Schizosaccharomyces pombe: one gene and its partners. The gene in region 2 interacts genetically with the main gene of each other region. Each region holds a gene or a part of one and is shown on either strand. Other genes may lie near its edges. The genes, in order: alg3, och1 and gms1.

The links.
Region 1: mutations in och1 (region 2) and alg3 impair growth when combined (synthetic growth defect), as found in Schizosaccharomyces pombe (one study listed by BioGRID).
Region 3: of och1 (region 2) and gms1, changing one enhances a phenotype caused by changing the other (phenotypic enhancement), as found in Schizosaccharomyces pombe (one study listed by BioGRID).

Annotation. Positions count from the first base shown.
Region 1 is NC_003424.3:2,622,963-2,630,814, forward strand, and holds alg3 (dolichol-P-Man-dependent alpha(1-3) mannosyltransferase Alg3), read left to right. Parts: upstream 1-3,437; 5' UTR 3,438-3,620; coding exon 3,621-4,841; 3' UTR 4,842-5,320; downstream 5,321-7,852. Other genes in the region: dfg10 (steroid dehydrogenase), read left to right, coding at 1-528; oligosaccharyltransferase subunit Ost4, read right to left, coding at 978-1,076; SPOM_SPAC7D4.08 (uncharacterized protein), read right to left, coding at 2,080-2,370; cytosolic thioredoxin Trx1, read left to right, coding at 2,495-2,806; SPOM_SPAC7D4.05 (hydrolase), read right to left, coding at 6,411-6,857, 6,947-7,023, 7,059-7,221; autophagy associated protein kinase regulator Atg11, read right to left, coding at 7,627-7,852.
Region 2 is NC_003424.3:5,076,409-5,084,712, forward strand, and holds och1 (Golgi alpha-1,6-mannosyltransferase Och1), read right to left. Parts: upstream 4,114-8,304; 5' UTR 3,969-4,113; coding exon 2,778-3,968; 3' UTR 1,881-2,777; downstream 1-1,880. Other genes in the region: protein mcp3, read right to left, coding at 1-1,586; RhoGEF for Rho1 Rgf2, read left to right, coding at 4,697-7,199, 7,255-7,676, 7,721-8,272. UniProt on the Schizosaccharomyces pombe protein: Mannosyltransferase involved in outer chain elongation of asparagine-linked oligosaccharides of the type Man(9)GlcNAc(2). May otherwise add the first alpha-1,6-mannose to the Man(8)GlcNAc(2) core oligosaccharide from the ER.
Region 3 is NC_003421.2:990,676-998,787, forward strand, and holds gms1 (Golgi UDP-galactose transmembrane transporter Gms1), read right to left. Parts: upstream 4,312-8,112; 5' UTR 4,130-4,311; coding exon 4,034-4,129; intron 3,859-4,033; coding exon 2,893-3,858; 3' UTR 2,203-2,892; downstream 1-2,202. Other genes in the region: proteasome core particle subunit alpha 7 Pre10, read left to right, coding at 38-40, 80-177, 227-709, 776-953; vcx1 (CaCA proton/calcium exchanger), read left to right, coding at 4,847-5,211, 5,268-6,141; mitotic spindle checkpoint protein Mad3, read left to right, coding at 7,013-7,945. UniProt on the Schizosaccharomyces pombe protein: Essential for the transport of UDP-galactose into the lumen of Golgi apparatus.

The DNA of each region.
Region 1 (7,852 bases), 2.5 Mb from region 2:
TTGATGTACAGTAAAAAGCTACAAGTACTCCTACTAATTTATGAAATTCACACGCTGCGTAGATTATATGAGAATCTACGTTTTCGCAAAAGCGGTTCGAAAATGCTTGCTGGTCATTATTTATTGGGATACCTGTTTTACACACATACATTCCTTGCATTGCTTTTGTGCGGTAGAAGAAGTTATGAAAATACAATGTCAAGCATGCAATTTGTTGGTTTGGGGATTTACGCAATAGGCAGCATTTGGCAGAATGCAAGTCATGAACATTTGATTGCTCAAAAAAATCATTCGCAATATCTAGTCCTAAAAAAAGGATGTTTTAAATGGATAACTGGCCCCCATTACCTTGGAGAAATCATTGTTTATACTGGAATAGCACTGATTGCCCAACACTGGTTAATATGGCTAGTCTTGGGATGGGTACTTTGCAATATGGTAGCAATCTCTTCTTCTTATGCTTGTACGGTCAAGAACAAAGAACAAAGTTTGGACTTTCGGTGGACTCTTATACCTTTTCTATACTAAGAAAAGCGTGCCGTCAGGATACCGCGATTCTTATTGATTGTGTAAAATAACATTTATTAAAAAAAAAGATAATTTGTATTAATATTTAGTCGGGGTTTGAGAAGAGACGAACTTTAAAGATGTATTATTATTTTATGTTGCACTTTAGTACAAGCAACAGTAGATGATAAAAGTTATTTGGCCAGCATGTAGAAAATAGGGAAGGAAGGAAAAAGAGATAGGAAAATAAGAAAAAAGTAATACAAGTGTATCCAATATTTAACGGAACAAATAATAAGACATATTTTGTTTCGTAATATAATCATTTTGATATGCAGGTACAAATTCCATTTCACAACAATACCAAAGGTAACTTCCCTTAATTGAAAGAGTGACTAATTTAAAAAACGTAGACGAAGAGTGCAGCTATAAAGGTAAGTTAGACAAACAGACATGAATCTCTCTTTCTTTTATGCTTGAGGACGTGAAAGGTAATGGTAAAGGATGATTAAGAGCATCATGGAGATACCAAAGGTGGTAACGATATTTTGAAGTTGAACGTCTGTCATTTTTAAGATGATCCTTTGTAGGAAATGAGTTCTGATGCTTGTGCTCGGTACAAGTTGGGAATACAAGTATTTAGGTCCAAGCCTGAATTGCCGTGCATTCTCATAAAGTAACGAAGCACGGTTGCTACTTGAAATGTGAATATCAGTACTGCAGTGATGAAAAAGACTGCCGGTATATAAGGTAAAAGAAAGAAGAAAGAAAATTCATTTTACGGTACTTTCGAATTCTTTAATACATATTGCTGCTCAATAGCTTCTGGATGTCTAAAATGTGAATGCTTCGAAAGAGCGTAAAAAAATTTCAAAAAAAAAAATTTCTTCACCATCCCTATAATTGCCGTTGATTAAAAAAAAAAAAATGTAACTTTCTACTTTGTTAAAGCCAAAGTAGCTGTAGAAAAAGTGACTGTGGATGCGTATGTAAAAGGTTACCCTCTCAAGCTGAAAACTGCATTGTACTATTTCGCCATAACGTGAATTTGATATAAAGCGATGGTTCAATACACCGTTTCTAGAGGAAGTAGCATGGAAAAAACATAAATTAAAATATCGTTCATCGTTCTAACGAAAGTTCAGCTACCGCAAAGAATTATTTGACTGGCGATTAACTTTTTTTTGATTTCAGAATTTCAAGTATATGTGACACTGTTATAAACTGCATATTTATACTCCTTTTCCAATTTCTACCGCCATTTATATGTAAAATGGATTTTGTTAACAGTAGGAATATCGCCTCACTATTTTACATTTTTGTATGTCTTTTAATTTGTAATTTCATATCAGTACCTCAGTTGTTATAACAAAATTTTCTTAACATTACTTCGACTCCACTAACTAGATCGTGTACAGCAAAGAAAAGAGCACGCATAATCTTTCAGCTTACCAAAAAAAAAGAAAATCTTTACATTTACATACTTATTATTTTGATGCTTTAATTGCTTATAATCTCATGTTTGTCGAGAATCCACGATTAACAAGCTGACATAACAACAAGATGGCTTCTTTAGCTTTGTTTACTAATTGTCAGGTTTCCGATTTGTGATTCGTTGTAATTCCATGAAGTATTACTCCGAAATGCGTTATAGAAAATTAGGAAACGAATTGGTAGGTTGATGGCAGAGAATGGCACCATATCCTCGTTATTGTAGCTCATTACCTCATCGTCGGTGATTGCACAATGTACGCTCTCGATCTTTCTACTAGAATAAGCGAACTTATAAATTACACATTTTCTCAATAATATATAAACGGGCACGTCGCACCATCGTATAAGTATACTAGAGACAAAGTTCATTTGCACTCCTGAAGTCAACGTCTTTTGAATTTTTCAGGTTTACTTCTGTTTACTCGTTAAATCGATTTTTTCTTTATTTGAGTATATATTTTTAACTTAATTTCCCATTTCATTTATATACAACATGGTGAAACAAGTCTCCGACTCTTCTGAATTTAAATCTATTGTTTGCCAAGACAAGCTTGTCGTTGTCGACTTCTTTGCTACTTGGTGTGGACCTTGCAAGGCCATTGCTCCTAAGTTTGAGCAATTTTCCAACACTTACTCTGATGCCACTTTCATCAAGGTTGATGTCGATCAATTAAGTGAAATTGCAGCTGAAGCTGGCGTTCACGCTATGCCCTCTTTCTTCCTTTACAAGAATGGTGAGAAGATTGAAGAAATCGTAGGTGCTAATCCTGCTAAATTAGAGGCTTCTATTAAGGCGAACCTCTAATTTACGCAATCTGATAGTTAGTTGTTATGAACTTGTAATACAAAATATTTTTATTTAACAAAAATAAATGTTTTGCTTTTCTTTGTGTATGCACCGTTGTAATTTATTGGGAAAAGTATTTTTGTCCTAGCATCTTTTCTACTGAAGTTGCAGAACGGCGATTTGCGTACAATTATCGCAATAATAGTAATGTGCCATCGACCAGGCGTAGTAATCTAGTCATGGGCATTTTTCAGACAAGCTAGCTAATTTGCGACCGCCTTGAGCATTTGTAATATTTAATACGACTTTTTGGTTAGGCGTTCGTGACTCTGTTCTACATTATTCTCCTATCCTTCTAAGATAGACATTGGAGAGTGTATACCAATTTGGAATGATACCATTTGGATGAATAAATATCCTTTTTGATTACATGCTCAAATACATGCTACTCTTTATTTATAACATTATACAATTAACCCAACGAATATTTATGTTGATCTGAGTAGCAAACATATTTTTGTATTCTATTAGAATAAAATCTTTAATATTCTCGTTAAGTATTGTTTTATAACAATCAAATTTCACATTTATGGAGTAAAATCACAGTAATGATTACGCTCCGTCGACATGTTCTTAACACTTACATCCTAACATACATTGTTCGTCTAACGAGTTTCATTAAAAACACAATTTTTCTTAAACAAAAAGGAGTTCCTTTCTATGTGAAAGAACTCTACCAATTTTCCATTGTCTATAATAAGCGTTACTCTTAAAAACCTGGGATCTGTCTACATTATTTGCTAAAGTCTCGTATTTTATCAAAAGTTAACCAATGTCTTCAGTTGAGACAAGAAATTCTTTTAATCCTTTTCGGGTATTATTTGATCTTGGTTCCTATGGCTGGTTACATCCTTCAAGGCTCCTTCTGTTGGAAATTCCTTTTGTCTTTGCTATTATTTCCAAAGTTCCCTACACGGAGATAGACTGGATTGCTTACATGGAGCAGGTGAATTCATTTCTATTAGGAGAAAGAGATTATAAATCTCTTGTCGGATGTACAGGCCCTCTGGTCTACCCTGGAGGGCACGTATTTTTGTACACCCTTTTGTACTACCTTACTGATGGAGGGACCAACATTGTAAGGGCGCAATACATTTTTGCCTTTGTATACTGGATTACAACGGCTATTGTAGGGTATTTGTTTAAAATTGTCCGCGCTCCTTTTTATATATATGTTTTGCTTATACTTTCAAAACGTCTACACAGTATATTTATCTTACGTTTATTTAACGATGGATTCAACAGTTTATTCTCTTCCCTTTTTATTTTGTCTTCATGCAAAAAAAAGTGGGTTAGAGCTTCAATTCTACTAAGTGTCGCTTGTTCTGTCAAGATGTCCTCCTTGCTTTATGTCCCAGCTTATTTAGTTCTTTTGCTCCAAATCTTGGGGCCCAAAAAGACCTGGATGCATATTTTTGTTATTATAATTGTACAAATTTTATTTTCTATTCCCTTCCTTGCCTATTTTTGGTCGTATTGGACTCAAGCCTTTGATTTTGGCAGAGCATTCGATTATAAGTGGACAGTAAACTGGAGATTCATTCCACGCAGCATTTTTGAGTCTACATCATTTTCCACATCAATACTTTTTCTTCATGTTGCTTTGCTAGTTGCATTTACCTGCAAACACTGGAATAAACTGAGCAGAGCAACACCATTTGCAATGGTAAACTCCATGCTGACCTTGAAGCCTTTACCAAAACTCCAACTCGCAACTCCTAATTTTATCTTTACTGCATTAGCAACATCCAATTTGATTGGTATATTATGTGCAAGATCCCTGCATTATCAATTTTATGCATGGTTTGCTTGGTATTCACCATATCTATGCTATCAAGCTAGTTTTCCTGCTCCGATAGTAATTGGCTTATGGATGTTACAAGAATACGCATGGAATGTTTTTCCTAGTACTAAACTATCTTCATTAATCGCTGTATGCGTGCCGCTTATTACTATTTTGAAGCTATACACATCCGACTACAGAAAACCCTGATCCCTCTTTACTAATACGCAAAATAAACTTTATAAAAAGCTTAAACACTTCACTTTTAATTACTCATGGTTTTTAAAAAACAAAATTTTTAGTTTTTTCATTTGTGTACCGACTATAAATTTTTGAAAATTAACATCTTATAAAAACGAACATTAGTCTAATCTTTTAATTCGTATCTTTATGCCGTCATAATTCGATGAATATTCTCTTCAATGAAAATCTCAGGGGATTGACAGATTGATAAAAATTCATACATTTAATCATTCGACACTGAAATGAATTAGCACCAGTGTTTTTATCAAATGCTCATTATTACTTTTAAAAAAGCGTTTCTAAAATATAAAACAAACAGTTGCTAAGAACACAAGTGCTTTCCGCACAACTATTGCAAATATTAGAATAAACAAGTTGCTGATTTTATAGCTTGCACCATTGACAGTCACATTTTACTAAGGTTTCATTATATATTTCAGTTCCCTCGTTAAAGTAATTTTGTGATTTGCTGTTTATTTGCATAATGTGAACTTCTTAAGGATACATTCGACCGCTGTAAGCGCCTCTTGTCTGATGTAGCGTAGTATGGATTATGAAAAAAACATATTTAGCGTAACTTGTAATAGTTCTAATAAGCTAATAAGTAAAATCAACTTCTACCAGCTTCAACTGCACTTCAAAATATATTTTTCATAAAAGGTTTAGAATAATTGCTTTTTAAGGGAATGACTATAAACGCAGGCATACATGTGAGAAAGCAACTTTTATCTTACTATAGCTAGTGCAGCGTAATAAATATTTCTTTATATCAGCATATTGGCATTTCGAGGGAATAATGGTGAATATGTAAATGTCTTAAAAATATTAAATATAGAGCCAGTACTAATTGTTAAATAAAATTTAGATAATTTAAAAGCATAAATCCCTTTAGCTAAATAAATGCTTTATCGAATTTGCTCGGTTTGCGTCAGTTCTTCGAATTTCAATATTTATGAATAGAGTATACACTCCATTAAAGAAAAGAATTTTGTGAGCTACTCTGTATAGATTTTGAACCCGTAAAAACAGCAAATGCATAACTGAGCCCTAGATTGTTGGTCTAACGATTATTCTCGTAGCATGGATGCTAGACTTGGAATAACGCGACTAGAATGGTCATTCAAATTAGAAAATAAAAAGGATTGCTATTGCGTTTATCGGCATATTCTTCATTTTTTAAATTTTCGTTAGCATGCATATGCATTAGCCATTTCATGTTCATGTCTTTTCGGAATATTCATTGTTTACTTATTTGCGCCCTTGTATAATGAAAACAACAATAGATCAATCTCTAAAAAATTAAAAGGATCACATAAATATAATTTTTCTTCAATGTCAAAAGCTAGTACACAAAGGAACAACAGAGCTTTGTTGAAAATATAATCAATTTATACATTTATTAGAATTCTGACGAAATATTCATTTATAAGAAAAAATTATCATTTCAAATGTGAAACCTTTATTGTCACATTAGGTCCTTGAAGAAGGGGTCCAGATATGAATGTTGGATACGCGGTAAACCTGACTGCGTTTATTTTACTTCTGTTCAAAATATTTCAGGAAATTGGTTTTTATGTCACAGTATTCAGCATTCCATTGGATGTTTCTTGCTGCTGAAACATCTTTTATTAAATCATCCCCTAGGTGCATACATTCTTCTGGTTGAATCTCCTGTCCAAGAAGTTTAACAGCCTTTTCCATAGCATAATCAAATATTTCCCTGCTTGGTTTTTCAAATCCAACGTCGTACGAAAACGCATATATATCTATTAGATGATCTATGCCGTAATCTTCAAGCACTGTACGAATTCTTTCGTCTGTGTTTGAAATAATACCAATAATGTATTTCCTCTCTTCTTTATTTCTCTTAAGGAAATCAATCAGAAGAGGATGAATCGTGTAACCCGTCTTTTTGGAAAAGTAACTCCATAGCTCTTCAGCCATTTCTGCAGGAACAGGAGTTGGAAAAGAATGTTCGATAACCTAAAATTGTTAGCATGTAAAGGTTTTTTAGAAATCAAGAGATTCAATTCTTTACAAAACACAAATCTCAATGAAATTCAGACACATACTTTGATCCACCAGTCATGAGGATTTAATCCTGACTTTTTTCCATGATTCTTATGCTTTTCACTGAAATCCTTGAATGCTAAATTATTAGATAAATAGAAACCAAAAGCTAACCTTTATTACTATTGTGTTCAATTTCATCAATAGTTGCATGAACTCCATACTTCTGAGCGACTTCGCTGTACACAATTGGAACAGGTTTACTTAAATGAAGGATTGTTCCAAAAGCATCGAACGTAACCAACTTGATCTTTTGGATATTTTTTGAGGGAATCATAATTCCAGGTTGTACTTTGATGGGACACACTACACAAAGCAATTTACATAAGGTACTCCTTACCACCAGTGCGTTGTTCGGTGTGATAAATAATATTTGCAAATCACTTTTATTGCGAGCGATTGCGTTCTACATATTAAATAATATACGAATAGATTAAAAGTTCATTAAAAATTTATCATGTTACAAGACGAGAGACACGCTACAGCAATAGTAGTCGTTAATTTACGTCGGATACCTTACTAGGCGAGACCAAAAAACAAATTTCAGTAAATAATGCCATAACAGATCAAAACCTGAAAAAATAGAAGTATGATAATACCAAATGTCTGTCATATAGAATCAGTCCCACAAATACAAGCAAAGAAAAAGCAAGTGAAGGTATAAGCTAGGTCACATAATGATTTAAAATCTTTCATCGATAGCTTCCACTAAATGCCATATTGTACCTGAAGGCAGGCGAAGCCATTTATCCGTCGAATCATCAGCAGTACGATCTTCAATGGAAGTTACCCTTCCTAACATCCAGTCGCGGCTTTCAAGTTTCAAATGCGGTTGAGTGTTCAAATAATAATGAGGAGCGTTAACATTAAAAGCCGCCCACACCTTTTTGTTACCGGCGGTACGTCGA
Region 2 (8,304 bases):
AGCTCTTGATCCCTGATTTGGCTTTTTAAAAATGCAGAGCGCCCGATTTCATCGTCAAGATTTCCCTTAGTGTTTTTTAAATCCTTCTGTAATCCATCCCGTTCATCAGTCAAACTAAAGACCGTGTCAAATTGAGAGAGTTGCTCATCCTTTAGGCATTTCATTTCTTCATCAAGTCTCAAAACCTTACTTGATTCCACTTCAAGATTGTTCTTTAATTCATTAAGTTCTTCCATAAGATATTCATTTTTTCGAAATACATTCTCCATATCCTTTATTGACGACTGTATTTGTTCTTGATAAAGTAGATCCCTTTGTTCACTAACAGAAGACTGAAACTCCAATAAGCCTGCTTTTTCTCTAAGACTTTCGGAAAGTCTTGAAATTTTTAATTCTTTTGCTCGAAAATCATCATCATAATGACTAATTAATGCCTCCTTGTTGTTTAACTTTTGACGCGCTTCTTTCATCTCGGTTTCATAATTGGCGTTCATTTCTCTCAGATTTTTTTCATCATTTTTAACAGTTTCTAGAGCTTCTTGCAATGACTGATTTCTTTCTAGCAACGCTTTGATTTGATCCTGTAACTTCTCGGTTTCAAGTTTTAAATCCCTGTTTTGGGTTTGAATTTCATTAATAGAATTTTGAGCTATAGAAAGCTTTTCTTCATAACTGATAGTTTTATTTTCGGCTTGTTTCAAATTTGACGCTACTATACTTAGAGATTTCTGCAACAACTGACGCGCGGCTTCACTGTTAAACTTGTCTTCCAATGCGTTGTTATGCTTGGACACAAGGCACACATACTTGTCGTTCATAATAGAAGAATGAAGTTTGAGCTCCTCAACAAGAGAACATAAATAGGCAATTCGTTTCAGAGATGTGTCACTCCAATCACTATTCGATGACTCCATATCTTTTAGAACATCAGGTAATTCATAATCGCCAAATAAGAATTTCCATGTTTTTTCTAACGAATGGCATCGTCGTAGTTGAATTTCTGTGTTTAGTTGCCTTGCTTGAAAGGAAAAGTTTACTTGAAGCATAACATTGTGCACTTGAAGTAGTTCAGTCAAAGTAGCAAAAGATTTAAATCGAGAAAGTAATTGAGAAAATGTTTGGTTATCTAAAGAAAATTTATAAAGCGTCAAAGTGAAATTATGGCCATCAGCCAGTGAACTGAAATATTTTTTTGCATTAGTAGTAACATTTGGTAGATTTTGGCACAATAGAAGTATAAGTTTAAGCTGAACTGATTCAATCCCAACGTGTTCTTCGTTGCATATGCATTTGATAATTTTTCTACTGCAATAAAAGCAAGTATCCCGCCGAGAAACTTGTAAATCTTTCTCTTCTCTAGCGCTGGAAGCATGATAAGCATTTGGTGATTTTGTTAAAGTTACATCTGCAGTGGTTGATTGATTATTCCCTTCCGATTTAACTAAGAGTTTAAAACTGTTTAAAAGATAATAGGAAGGACTCTTTAGCTTGAAATTCAAAAGTTGACGCGCTTGAGTTGAGAGCAAAGAAACAGGAAATATCCCGTTATGCGTACGCAAATGATTTTCGTGAGTTTCTTTAGTCATTAAGTATTTAATCAAATAAGTTAGGCTTTTCTAAAATATAATTTTGAGCAAGCAATCTACCAATTGTAAGATTTATCAACGATGCTTCTAATTCGAAGATGTAAATCCTGCACTTATAGAAAAGAAATAACGGAAAAAAGAAATACTTTTAACATCAATTAGGAAAAGCATTAAACCTTCAGGTTGTAAATGCACTCAACAATCGTGTTTGTGACAGTGGGAAATGGAGGTAAATAAACACTACAATAACTTCTTATATGGGTGTTTAATGTTCTAAGGTATTCAAAGCAAGGGCGTTAGCATAGCTTTAAAAGATAATAGTAAGTTTATTCAATTATTGAAACACTTTTCAGTCTATTTATTTATAATAAAAATAATGTATAGTTGAAGCTGTAAAGTGATGAACTTTGTCGGTCCAAAGTAAACAAATATTATAGAATACAGCGCTAATACTACTAGCAAAATAAAGTCACCTTCTGAAAAAAAATGTAGTTGCAAAGAAAGAGAGACAAACCTCAAAAATTTAATGAAGAAATATGAGGTCCTTTAATCCCAAGAAGCATTCATGCAAGTCTAAAGACATAAAGTAATTACAAAGCCGAAACAGGTTTATCATTCATCTTCAAATCTTAGGCATAATCTCTGTACTACTTTGATAATTCACCTAAGTATACAGAAACGCTTTGGGGTCAATATACCATCACAAAAGAGAAAAAAATTGAAAAAGACTGATTGTGATCAGCGCAAAAGTTTTATAAAATTATTGAAAGAAACAAACAGCTTTAGAATTCAAAACAGTTTACAAGGGAAAATATTATAGTGCTGAGCTATAAAACGCGTTGATGAAAGCGCTGAAAAAAAAAAAAAAAAGAAAGTTGATCATCAGGACATAAGCATTGGCTTCATATAATTCAATAATGTCACCAATATTGCCAACTTGATTGGCTAACGTACAAAATACATGCAAAATTAATCGTAAAGAGATGTAGAATTATGAGGGAAAGATTAAATCAACCACGAAAGAAACTTTTTTGTTTGCGCAAGCTATAATTTACAAAAATTGCTCGAACACAACCCGTAACAGTTTCCAAACCAGATCAAATGCGTGTATTTAGTATTATCGAATTGCCCGGTTCGAACACTTTAAGCACATTATACCAAGAAATGACCACCCACCCACATTTCAAACGATCAATCATCTTTCCATGAACCGGCAAAGAAATGTTGAACATACGCCATCGGATCATTTGGAGACTTGCTACCCATGTGACCGACACCAGGACTAAATGCAGTTATGGGTAGGATTAAAACATCTCCAACAAGATAAGGTTCTTCTAAATTGGTGATATTCTCAACCGAGAAAGGGCCATACTGCCAATTTAAATAATCCATAATGGCATCGGTCCAAATACCTGGACCAGTCCACTCCATTACTGACTCGCCATTTTTCGAAAGCTTCTTTGAATCATGCAGCTTCCAAGTTTCATCGGTAATTCTACGAACAAGTTCCCAAAGAATTGGATGGCCTGGTGCAGCAGCTATGGTCCACTGACAGAATTGTACACGCCTGGCATAGTAGTCGTTCCAATCAGGGCGGTCGGGATCTGCTTCAATGCCAACGATCAGTCGAATATTACGCTTACGATATTCACGAGGGATCCAATTGTTTATATGCTTCAATGGTGCCGTATCAATGTCGCTATAAATACCACCTTTTGCCAATAACACTAGATACCGAAAGAAATCGGCCTTCAGAACAGGCAGAGGCATCATTGCATACGCTTGTGAAATCTTGGAAACTGATGAATCGCCAAAGCTACTGATGACCAATGCTTTAGACTGCTCATCGTCTAAAACAGCATGAGAATAACTGGGATGGTTGATTCTCCAAAACCGAGTGTACTTCATAACCTCTCTATCAAAAGGGTCCTTGGAAGTTTGCCATATTAACTTGGGAATGTCAGCGTGATAAGGCACCTCAAATTCATAAGTATCTTTAGGAACGATCATGTGTACAGCTTCATTTTCTTCGTCAAAATCTTGAAGCTGTGAAAAGGAGTACCGTAGATGAAGTTTATAATTATTTTCTTCATCAAGTTCTTCCAAGCTGTGTTCCAGCTCTTCCCTCTCCAAATCGCTCAAGTAAGCTTCCAAATCTGGATCTTCTTCTTCTTCAATGTAAGACGGTTGATCATACAAAAGTTCCTCCTCCTCCTGTTGACCAACATAATCTTTATTAGCGGCTTCCGGAGTGTAATCCTCCAACATCGAAATCTCTGTCAAATCTTCCATTCCTTCTATGCTACCATGATTGAATAACAACAGTATGGATCCCGCTATCGCAGCTCCTATTACAATACTTCTCAATCGGAGTCTCAACATGCTGAACTCGTTATATGCTAATGCTCAATGTATCAATTAATTACTTAGTTCGTTAACAAAGACTCATTAATGTGTACTTAATGCAGCTAGGATACAGATTTTGCGGTTTTTCATAGAATCGCAGCAAAACACAGGTGGGCGCTCTGGCTGAGTTTGCGCAGATGCTCTTACTTTAACTTCGCACAAGCGACCCGAAAATCGAAGGGCTTTAATGTGATATTACTCTATAATAGCAACAGCCACACTTGATTGCGGTACCGTGCGTAATATCAGTCCAAGTATTGTCGGCTGTAGTTAACGGTGTGTGTTAGGTGTATGTACACAATAACAGAAAAAGGTTACCCAAAGCACCACCCATAATATAGAAGTGTAAGCAGCGATCCACTTCAAATCCGTTCTTTTGAGTATCCAAGCTGTTTGAATAATTGGAAAGCCGGAGAATTGGCATTAATATACGTACTCCGGCTTCTCGTGTATAATAAGAGGAATTTGGTGAAGTTTCCATGTTCAAATAAGACGACTTGTCTTGTAGAACCTTTTATTGTTGAAAGTAATTGGAGCGTTAAAAAAAAAGGTACTACTTGAATTTGAAAAATATCTTTCTTCTCTTTCTGTTGTTGTGTCGGTACGGACGATTGGTATCAGAAAAGCCCCTTTGCATAGCGCCGTTTTTCTAAAACTTGCGATACCTCGAGAGGGTAGTAAAATTAGAATCAACAAACAAGAAAATGCTTCGCAATGGAGCTCAGAATGGAAATATAAACTCTGAGTCTCATGAATCGTTTGGTAAAGCAGCTAAAGGATTTCGTATTTTTTCATCATTTAGCAGTAGCCAAAAACTGTTCCAAAGAAGGAGTTCTGGCTCTATCACACATTCTCCTACCGCTTTATCATCTACCACATCCCTTAATGAAAATGATGGCAATCATTTTCGTCCTGCATCGAGCCTTAGCTTTTCTCCCTCTTCGCTATCCAGAAAAGATTCGGGTCCTGGAGATGGCTTAGAAGTTAATAAAAAAAATAATTTTTATCGCCGTTCTTCCTCCACAGATGATTTTGGCATTTCTCATGCACGTAGTAGGAAAGAAATACAATCGCTCGGTAGACCCCATACTCGCCAGTCGTTTTCCGTCTCTGATGTATCTAATGGCAGTTCTTATCCTAACATTCGAAAAAATAGCGTCCATGTTAATGCACCCATGCCATCTTTTCCTGAAGGATCAACTGCCGTCTTACTTAAGCATCACTCAGGCTCCAAGTCTGCATCTGCGATTTCGAACATCGCCCCTTCGCATTCCAATTCTACCTCATCTCGTCGCCCTTATATACATCCGGCTTTTCTTTCTCAAGTCGCCGTTGAGTTCCGAAAGCGTCTTAACATCGGTGACCGTGTGAAGGATGGTCTTCTTTATAAAGATGCCTTTCTTGGATCGGAAGCTGTCGATGTATTGATGCATATAGTTCGGACGACTGACAGGAATTTGGCGTTACTTTTAGGAAGAGCCCTGGATTCGCAAAAGATGTTTCATGACGTTACTTACTCTCATAGACTTCGCGACTCGCTCAAGGAAGTTTACCAGTACCGACGTATCATTTCTCCTCCTCCTGGTCTCTCCTCGATGGATTCCAATGGATCGTCGATCGAAAATAACTTTCTCTACACAAAAAGAAGAGCGAACACGTCTGATTCATTTGACTCTGTTTTATCTGATTCTTCTACGACACCTACCATCTCCTCGTCTGTACAGGTAAATTCTTTAGCTTTCATCACCTCATCCCTAAGCGCAATTACTAAGGAGCCTGAAGCTCCTGAAACCGAATACAATCCTCATGGAGTGTTTACTCTTTTAACGGAATGCTACTCCTCTACATGTTCTCGTAATCGCCTTTGCTATTCTATATCTTGCCCACGTCGACTAGAGCAGCAGGCCCGTCTCCATTTGAAGGTCCAACCTGTATTAAGTGGGGGATCAACTTCGATTACAGATAAACAAGAGGAAGATCATCGTTTATGGTCGGAAAATGTTCCTAAGCAAGTTGTAGACCAGATCGATGTCCGTGAATGGAAAAGACAGGAAATCATTTTTGAGGTTATTTACACAGAACGGGACTTCGTCAGAGACCTAGAGTATATACGTGACTTTTGGATTAAGCCTCTTTCAACCTCAAATGTAATACCAGAAAACAACCGACAACAATTTATACGTTGCGTTTTTCATAATATCATGCAAATCCATGCTGTCAATTCTCGTTTGTCAAATGCTCTAAACCGTACTCAAACTCTGCAACCTGTAGTTAACACAATTGGTGATCTTTTCTTAGATTATGTTCCTAAATTTGAGCCTTTTATAAAATATGGTGCCAATCAGGCTATTGCCAAGTTTGAATTTGAGCGTGAAAAAAGTACGAATAGGAATTTTGCGAATTATGTTCATGAAGTGGAAAGATTACGAGAGTCTAGAAAACTAGAACTTAATGGTTATTTGACCAAGCCTACGACTCGCCTTGCGAGGTATCCGCTACTATTAAGTGGAGTTCTTAAGTACACTGATAAAGATAATCCTGATACGGAAAACATTCCTCGTGTAATCGAAATGATTCGTGAATTTCTTACTAAGCTTAACTATGAAACAGGGAAGACTGAAAATAGACTCTCGTTGTTACAGTTAAACGAACAGCTTTCCTGCAGCCCTGCGGATCGAGCAAAATTAACATTGTTTGATCCATCTCGCTTATTGATTTTCAAAGGCGTCGTCAAGCTAAAAGCCAGTAGTTATTCGAATGGGGACACTGAAAACGACATTCACATGTTTTTACTGGACAATTTTCTCTTGTTGTGTAAGATAAAGATTCAAATGAAAAGAAGAGTTCATAAACTGCATCTCAGGCCATTACCTTTAGAATTGTTGTCGATTTCTTACATCGAAGACTCGCCATCGAGAGGTAGCCTTCCGCGTCGACCATCTTCTGCTTTGTTAACTAATCCAATTTCAATTACAAAAAGTAATCCACCTCCTGTTAAAGCATACGGTTTGCAGTTAGTATTTATTGGAGCCCGTGGTTTTTCTATAAGTCTTTATCTCAATACACTGATTGCTAGAGACCAATGGAAACAACACATTGAGAAACAGCAAGATATCATTCGAAAGCGTCATTTGGTATTTGAAAGTCGAGGCATATGTTGTCAGTCCTGGTTTACCGGCAACAAGTTATTATGTGCCGTTGCCTATGGTAAGTATAATAAACAATATGTTAAAGAAGTAAATGTTTGTTAACAGCTCTTTAGATGCGGGCCGTAAATTACTATTTGGAACTTACAAGGGACTATATATCTCTTCTCGAAAAAGTAATAATGGCAGTTGTCTTGAACCCATTTTCAAGCTGCAATTACCAAATATCTCTCAACTAGATGTAATTGAGGAACATAACGTTCTATTGCTTTTAGCCGAGAAGATTTTGTACGAGTTACCTCTGGACGCTCTTGATTCAGTAGAACAAATTAATTCAAAGTCTTTGCGACGTGTAACAGGTCATGTTAGTTTCGTCAAAACAGGTTTTTGTATGCAAAGAATTTTAGTCTGTGCGGTAAAGTCCACCGTTTTAAATACTACATTGAGGATTTATGAGGCTGATCGTGCCTTGAAGAACAAAAAGACCCAGTCTCTAAAAAAGCCTTTTGGCAATCAAGCAACTTTGAAAATATTTACTGTGAGTTACCTCGTCGTTCTTTCTCTATACTAACATTTTTTTAGGAGGTACAAATGCCGATGGAAGCTTTGTCCGTTCACTTTCTCAAGACAAAGCTTTGTGTGGGAAGTTTTAAGGGATTCGATATTATAAGTTTGGAAAATGCCGTATTCCAATCTTTGTTAAATCCTGCTGATACTTCATTTAGATTTTTAGAAAAGAGGGAAGATATTCGACCGATTGCCATGTTTCGCTTAAGAGGAGAATTTCTCCTCTGTTATTCAGATTTTGCATTCTTTGTTAATACGAATGGCTGGAAATCTAGGCAATCCTGGATGATTAATTGGGAGGGCCAACCTCAAGGTTGCGCTTTGTGTTATCCATATATCCTGGCATTTGAGCCGGACTTCATTGAAATTAGGAATGCCGAAACAGCCGAACTCGTTCAAATCATAATGGGACAAAACATTAAACTTTTAACTGATGGCCGAGGGTTAATTAGTGAAGGAGGTGAAATACTTTACAGCACTGAGCCAATTCCATTTTCATCTGGAGAAAATCCTATAGTTCATTCTTTAATACTTCCTCCAGCAAATGCAGCAGGTCCTGCACTTTAGATCGTTTATGACAGTACTGTCAACATTTGTGC
Region 3 (8,112 bases), on a different chromosome or scaffold from region 2:
TCAGTCTACGCATGCCAACTACCACCAACATAAGCAAATGGTAAGTTAGCAAGGAGTAGCACATCACATTAACAAACAGAGTTCAATTGGTACTGGATACGATTTAGGATTATTCTTCTCCCCGGATGGTCGTTTATTCCAAGCGGAGTACGCGTATAAAGCCGTCGAAAATGCAAGGTAAGGTGGATTGAATTTCCTTATCGATTGATTTTAACATTGTATTTAGTACTTGCATTGGAATAAAATGTGAAGATGGAGTTATTCTAGCTCTAGAAAAGGTAGTTACTAGCAAACTACTTAAGCCGCGAGTAAATAACAGAATTGGGTCGGTCGATCGACACATTGGTATTGCTACTACTGGCTTTATTCCTGATGGCCAACACATCGTAAAACGTGCAAGGGACGAAGCCACCTCATGGAGAGATAACTACGGATCTCCCATCCCTGGAACAGTTATTGCTGATCGCTTGGGGAACTACGTTCAACTTTTCACTTGCTATTCTAGCGTCCGTCCATTCGGTGTTATGTCTTTTGTTGCTACTTATGACTCAGAAGGTCCACATTTGTATATGGTTGAACCTAATGGTGTTTATTGGGGTTACAACGGTGCTGCAGCTGGTAAAGGTCGGCAAGTAGCTCGAAACGAATTAGAAAAACTGAATTTTTCCTCATTAAAAATGAAAGATGCGGTTAAAGAAGCTGCTAGAATGTACGTTTTGCTTTGTTGAGTACAATTTTTTTTCATTCTATTTGCTAATAATTCACTCTTTTTTAGATTATACGCAACTCATGACGAAGAAAACAACAAAGAGCATGAAATTGAGATGACTTGGGTTGGTGTTGAAACAAACGGTATTCATACACCCGTTCCTGATGAGCTTTTGCAAGAGGCTGAAGCATATGCTCGTCGGATTGCTGATGGCGAAGAAGAGGATATTGCTATGCAAGAGTAAATGTCATATGATTCCTATTATACTATGTTATGATTTCCCATTTTTATTCTCTCTTCATGCCTTTTTATTACCCTACTGACCTCTTCCTCTCCTTTTCTTATTTTTCCTCCAAAATTTTAGCCAAGTCTTTGTCTCTCGATTAGCTATTCCATCTTCCGTAACCGTCAATTATAAACAATTTTACGAGAACGATTATCTATAGATTCCTTTTATCGCTTTTCTTATAGAATCAATACACCCGTTTAAGGAATTAACATTTTTATCTTGTTAGAATATGGCAGATTCTACTTCCTTAAATCTTTGGAGTTATAATCTTCTTCCCAACTTTAATTCGGGTCTATCGATTTGATATTTAATGTGTATATGTATTGACCTATTTACTACATTTTCACAGTGATATTAAACAAGTAAACATTTTTAGCATTGCGTGAAATCCCTAATAACAAGTAGAGTATACTTTTGAAAGTGTATTATGATATCAGCTGTATGAGAAAGTTATTTGCAACCAATGCAATACTCATTTTAGCTTACAATTTTTTTAATGCAAAATCGTAAACACGAAATCGTTTAATAATCATACACCGAACTTACTATTGAGTGAATTAACAAAAGCAAACCTGCTGAAATACTTCACATTTCTATTAAGTACCAATCAATTTAATTTTACAACTACAATATCCATTTCCTATGCTCCCAATTAAGACAGGAACACCGGATGGCAATCACTGACTATGCATCAATGTCAATCGATAATGTAATTCAATATTAACAACTATTCCAAAACAAAAAACATTCTTAAATCTAATTTCATGTAGTGACAATTATTGAGATGATTATCATAAAAAAAGAAAACCATCTCACCCAATCGTCTCTTTTTATAAATTTAGTCTTCAGTTCAAATTATCTTTTATATTACTGCATCAAGTTTTGAATCCGCAGCACTTTTATTTTGACTGTTATAATAAGCGTTGTTCGTAGTTCCCTAGTAAGAAAATTCAGTATTTATATAGCACATGATCAAAGGCAGTCACATTCCTTAGGGTTTTTTAAACTGAAAGAACGATTTGCCGCAATAATTCGCAATTTAAAATTAAGTGACTTACAAAGGTTCGGTATTTACTAAGCAAGCTTGAAAGAATCTTTTAATAGTTTTTTATTGCAATGTTTACTTTTTTTCAATATACGGTAAATTTCTTCAATTATCTAAACCAAATAAGCATGATGAGTGGCAACGGTAAAAAACAGTTGTGCGGTTACCATACTTATTGTATTTGCCATTTGTAAACCATGAGTTGCGGCTTCTTGAGCCTTTATTATAAGGAATTGGGTTCGTTACTCACCAGACAAAATAATTAATTAATTCATTTCTTTCCCTAATATCTAATATCTATTTCTAATTGATTAAATAAATAAAGGGGCCTAGTATTCCTTAAAATGCCGGTGAGCTTGAGATTTGTAAGTTTTATTGACCGCTTCTACCCAACATTACCGCCGATTTTGAATGGGGATGAAAAATATAGAAACCAACAGATACAAGAAATTGGGTAATTCTCTCGCAATTAAACGAAAATAGTAGTAAATTAAAAGAATTAAATTGTTAGGATGCTAAATACTAGAAGAATGACAGTAGGGTTTGAAAAGCTTTGGTAGATTCACATGAATTAAATAGTTCACAGTATCAATTGAAGAACATTTGGGAATATGCTCTACACCATCTCACTGCTTTGCTAATAAGTGCCCAAAGGAAAGATAGAATATTTATAAGGATCTATGTAGAAAACGATTGACGAAAAAAAGTGGGAGCAGTTGTCTTAACAAAACATCAAGCCTGTTCTATCACGTTTGGAAACAAATGAACGAAGATGAGATCTCATTGAAGACGAAATGTAAAAGAAAATTAAAAAGAATACATTCTTTGAGAATTACAGAACATCTTAAATTAATGCTTATGATCAACGTCCTTAGCAGCAGCATCTTGGGTTGTCATTGGAATGTAAGTGCCTCTTGATGGTGATGGCTTGCTTTCAGGCTTAGTGTAGAGAAAAGTAGCAGCAATAACGAGCATAACTCCAATTAAAAATGTTAAGGAAATTTTGAAATCCATCAAATAAACACTTGCGAGAGAAGAAATAATGATGCTGATACTTGTTGAGAAATTTTTCATAATGTTATCAGCAAAAGCGACACATAAAGCTACGATAATACCTCCTCCAGCTTGTAAAAGGATTGCGAGCCAAACAATTGAATTATAACCGAAGAAAAAACCGTTTTCAGCAATATTGTGATAATCCTTCATCAAAATGGTGAAAAGACAGGGGAAGAGTGAAAAGAAGGAAAGTTGCACATTGCGAACCCACAAGGAAGGGTTGGTATCCTTCAAGACCTTTTCAAAATACACACCAGCTAGACCACTAATTAAGCACGCGACGAGTACAGCGCTAAAGCCAGTAACGGGATTCATAGGTCCTGCCGACATTTGGTCGTCTGAGTTAAGATTTTGCAACTGAACGATGGCAATGCCACCAGTCAATAAGAAAAGAGAAAACCATTTCATGGGACCGAGTCTTCGATGGAGAAGTAAGATAGAAAAGATGGCAGTAGTAAGAATCTTCAACTGATAAGTAACTTGGAAAGATGCGGCAGTAAGGTTGCCAGCAGCAACATATTGAAGATTGTTCTGGCAGGTGTAAAGGAATGCTGGAATTGCAAGTTTCCAGCTGTCCCCTCCAAATATTTGAGGAAGAAATGCGCGAAGTTTTGCTTCCTTGCCTACGTTTTTACGGAACTGATGATAGCCAACCGAAAAGCAAACAACTAGTTTAATAAGTTCGTTTAAAAGGACGGCAGTTGATGTAAAGTAACGTTTATCATCATATCCAGGCATGATTCGAGAATAGTTAAGTGTCTATTTAACCATTAGCATGTACAATAGGAAAAACAGAAATATATTTCTACATAAAAACAGCGAAGCTTTTCTAAAAAAAAGTGGGAGACATGCGTGTTTCTATAAGAAGATTGACCATATACTCCACAAACCAGAGAAATTCACAAGACTTCCTAAAAAAACCGCGACTACTTACCAAAATCAATGCACTATTTTGCACTGTTAAAAGTACCAATGCAATGTATTTCATTGGAATACCTTTCCATTTGACATCGTCGCCCTTGACAGCCATTTTCTCAATATTACTGGTATTAGACTAGACACTTGTAAAGATGTGAAGTGCTCGGACTTAATGAAATATTAATATAAGCAAAAGGTAGTTAACGAATTAAGAATTTGCAAGAAAAATTAAAAACCTCCAATACTTAATACGCTCAATCCGGTTAATAGTAAAACACGTTCGTGTTGGCTGCTGGTACGACAAGAACTAACTGCCCAAGCCTTTATAGTATCCAACTGATTTACGGAGCACGAGGTAAAATCGATAAAGGGTCATTATGAACACCAACAAATTTGGAAGATAGCCACGTTAAGCTAAGTTTTGCATTTGCCACGAACATGTGACAAAGCGGGTTTGTGCATTCGAACGCGTTGAGTACATACATGCTGATATCCGACTGCAAGCGTTAAACGATTCTTGTTTTCTCATATTTCTGTATTTTCTTTAAAGTGCATTAATTTTTTAGAAATATAGGGTAAAAATTCTACGATTTTGATTGCTTCTGGAGTCTTTATTTGCTTTCAGGATTTACAGGGATATCAGATTGTTATAACGGAATTCCCCTTGATAGCCGAAGGTTAGATCATTTGACTGTTATAGTTGGTAAGTTAAAGTTTTATGAATCCTCAAATCTTTGGCTTATACATAGAGGTATTCGGTTTGCAAAATATCGTATAAACGGGTCCTATAAGTAGCCGCCGAACTTGACATTAGTTGAATTGGACTAACATGATTGAGAGATTAAAGATTGCTAAGAACAGACTTGAAGCTATGAATTCTTTTAATTTTCCCGCCCAGGATAGACATGAACGAGCCCCTCTCTTGGGATCAGAGTATGACCACTCTATGGCTCGTCAGTTGTCGCTTTTAAACGTGGTCGGCATGACCAAATCTGTTTTGATGTCTAGCTACTTTAACTTGATGTTGGTATTTGTTCCGATCGGCTTAATTGCAGGATGGTTTGAATGGAACGCTAAATCTGTTTTCATACTTAACATGCTTGCTATTATCCCCCTTGCATCCTTGCTTAGCTTTGCTACTGAACAACTCTCTATAATTAGCGGACCAACATTGGGAGCATTGTTGAATGCTAGGTAAGATTCCTACTTTATCGTCTTCTTTTGTTATTTTATTAACACGTTGTGTACAGTTTTGGAAATGCCATCGAGCTCATTGTAGGCGTTCTTGCTTTGAAAAGAGGAGAGCTCCGCATCGTTCAATCGTCCCTTCTCGGATCAATATTATCCAACTTGCTTCTTGTTTTTGGAATGTGTCTCGTAACTACTGGTATTCGTCGTGAAATTACCACATTTAATATCACTGTTGCACAAACTATGATTGCAATGCTTGCTTTATCTACTGCTACCATATTGATTCCTGCGACTTTCCATTACAGCCTTCCCGACAACGCTAATAGCGAAAATGCGCTTCTCCATGTCTCTCGTGGAACTGCTGTTATTGTACTCATCGTCTATGTTTTACTTTTAGTTTTCCAATTAAAGACTCATAAGCATGTCTGTCATGATCCCAGTGAAGTGGAAGAAGAAACTGAACCTCGAATTTTAGGCCTTCGTTCATCCATTGCCATGCTTGCTATCGTCACGGTTTTTGTTTCTCTTTGCGCAGACTATTTAGTAGGTTCGATAGACCAATTGGTTGAGGAAGTTAACATTTCAAAAACTTTCGTTGGTTTGGTCATCCTTCCTGTTGTAGGAAATGCTGCCGAACATGTTACTGCAATCGTGGTATCTTACCGAGGACAAATGGATTTGGCTTTGGGTGTTGCTATTGGTTCCAGTATTCAGATTGCTTTGTTTTTAGCTCCCTTCTTGGTAATCGTCGGATGGATCATCTCCCAACCTTTAACACTTTACTTTGAATCATTGGAAACAGTTATTCTATTTGTGTCTGTTTTCTTGGTTAATTACTTGATACAAGATGGTGCTACTCATTGGCTTGAAGGTGTTCAATTACTTGCTTTGTATGCGATTGTTGTTCTCGCCTTTTTCTACTACCCTCAATAAATTTTGTCGTTCCCTCGCTAGTTCCTTATTATGTCTACTCTTATGTGCTTGATATACTCTCTTGATTTCTTTGTGTTTTACTTTACGAAACTATCATACCGAACTTATTGATTTCTTATTTTTTTATACTAGATTTTTTTTTTTTTTGGTTTCTGTTACAAGGATATTTTGCAGACTTATTTTTTAGTATGCAAGTGTTAAATTATGCAGAAATCTCCCATTTTCGCAATGACTACACAACTCTAAATTTCTATTGCAGGTCAAGCCAATATCTGCTTGTTTACAGTAGCTTTTTAAGTCGCTCATTCTTCAGTCTCAGTTTCATGTGTCTTACCAGCTATGAAAATAGAAAATTAATTTTTGAATAAACTCTTGTAAATCGTTGTTTATAAATCTTCATTTTGTTTATTTTTATTAGTTGTTTTGTAGGTTGTGTTTTACATGATTTAATAATACAAGCCATTAGTATGTGAAGTGGTTAATTTTAATTCTTCTTCTGTTTCTGTATATTCGAAGAAACAGAAAAAACTTCTTATCTCTTTCATTGGACTCTTCCAGGCGTAAGTATGATACCCTCCCCCAGCGTCAAGTTGGCACTTACCTTCTAATTTACGCACAATCTTTCATACATTCCTACTCTTGCTCTTTGAGTGTTGACACTTTTAATTTTATACAAAAGCTTTCAGTACACCTTCTATTAAACTATATACTGGCTATTTTCGTTCTTTCAATAGAATTGTACTTGTCTAAATAAACTTTCCAATACTACTACACTCACATCTCCTTCTTTGTTTTATTTATTTTCATTTAGTGGAAGGTATAGGGTTCTCTAGAAAAGGTTTACTAATTTTTTGGAAGACATTGACTACAAATGGAACCATTAGATGCTGGCAAGAACTGGGTGCATATGGATGTCATTGAGCAGTCCAAGGAAAACATAGAGCCTAGAAAAGCTGGTCATTCAGCTTCTGCACTTGCAAAATCTTCGTCGCGAAACCACACCGAAAAAGAAGTTGCTGGTCTGCAAAAAGAAAGGATGGGCCATGAACGAAAAATAGAGACGAGCGAGTCTCTTGATGATCCACTACAAGTTTGGATCGATTATATTAAATGGACCTTGGATAATTTCCCTCAAGGTGAAACAAAAACTAGTGGACTGGTAACATTGTTAGAAAGGTGTACTCGAGAATTCGTACGAAATCCGCTTTATAAAGATGATGTTCGGTATTTACGAATATGGATGCAATATGTAAACTATATAGACGAACCGGTTGAATTATTTTCTTTCTTGGCACATCATCATATTGGACAGGAGTCCTCGATTTTTTATGAGGAATACGCAAATTATTTCGAGTCTAGGGGATTGTTTCAAAAAGCTGACGAAGTTTATCAGAAAGGAAAAAGAATGAAGGCTAAGCCATTTTTGAGATTTCAGCAAAAGTATCAGCAATTTACTCACCGTTGGTTGGAATTTGCCCCACAATCATTCTCTTCAAATACAAATTCGGTTAATCCTTTACAAACGACATTTGAGTCAACAAATATCCAGGAAATATCCCAGTCTAGGACTAAAATTTCTAAACCTAAATTTAAATTTTCTGTTTATTCAGATGCGGATGGTTCTGGAAAGGATGGCCAACCTGGGACCTGGCAAACTCTTGGTACAGTTGATCAAAGGCGTAAAGAAAACAACATATCGGCTACTTCTTGGGTAGGCGAAAAGTTGCCTTTGAAATCTCCAAGAAAATTGGACCCTCTTGGGAAATTTCAAGTTCATTGTGATGAGGAAGTATCGAAAGAATAACCGATAAAGAAAAGATTTAAAGTATTGGCGTTATTAGATTAACAACTATTGTACATCATGACTCCCGGAATAAGAAATAGGTTGAAACATGCGAATTTTAAGGGTTATACGAACTTAACATAAAGCATCTTATTTATACTACGATTTGCAGCTTTTTTTTATATTTT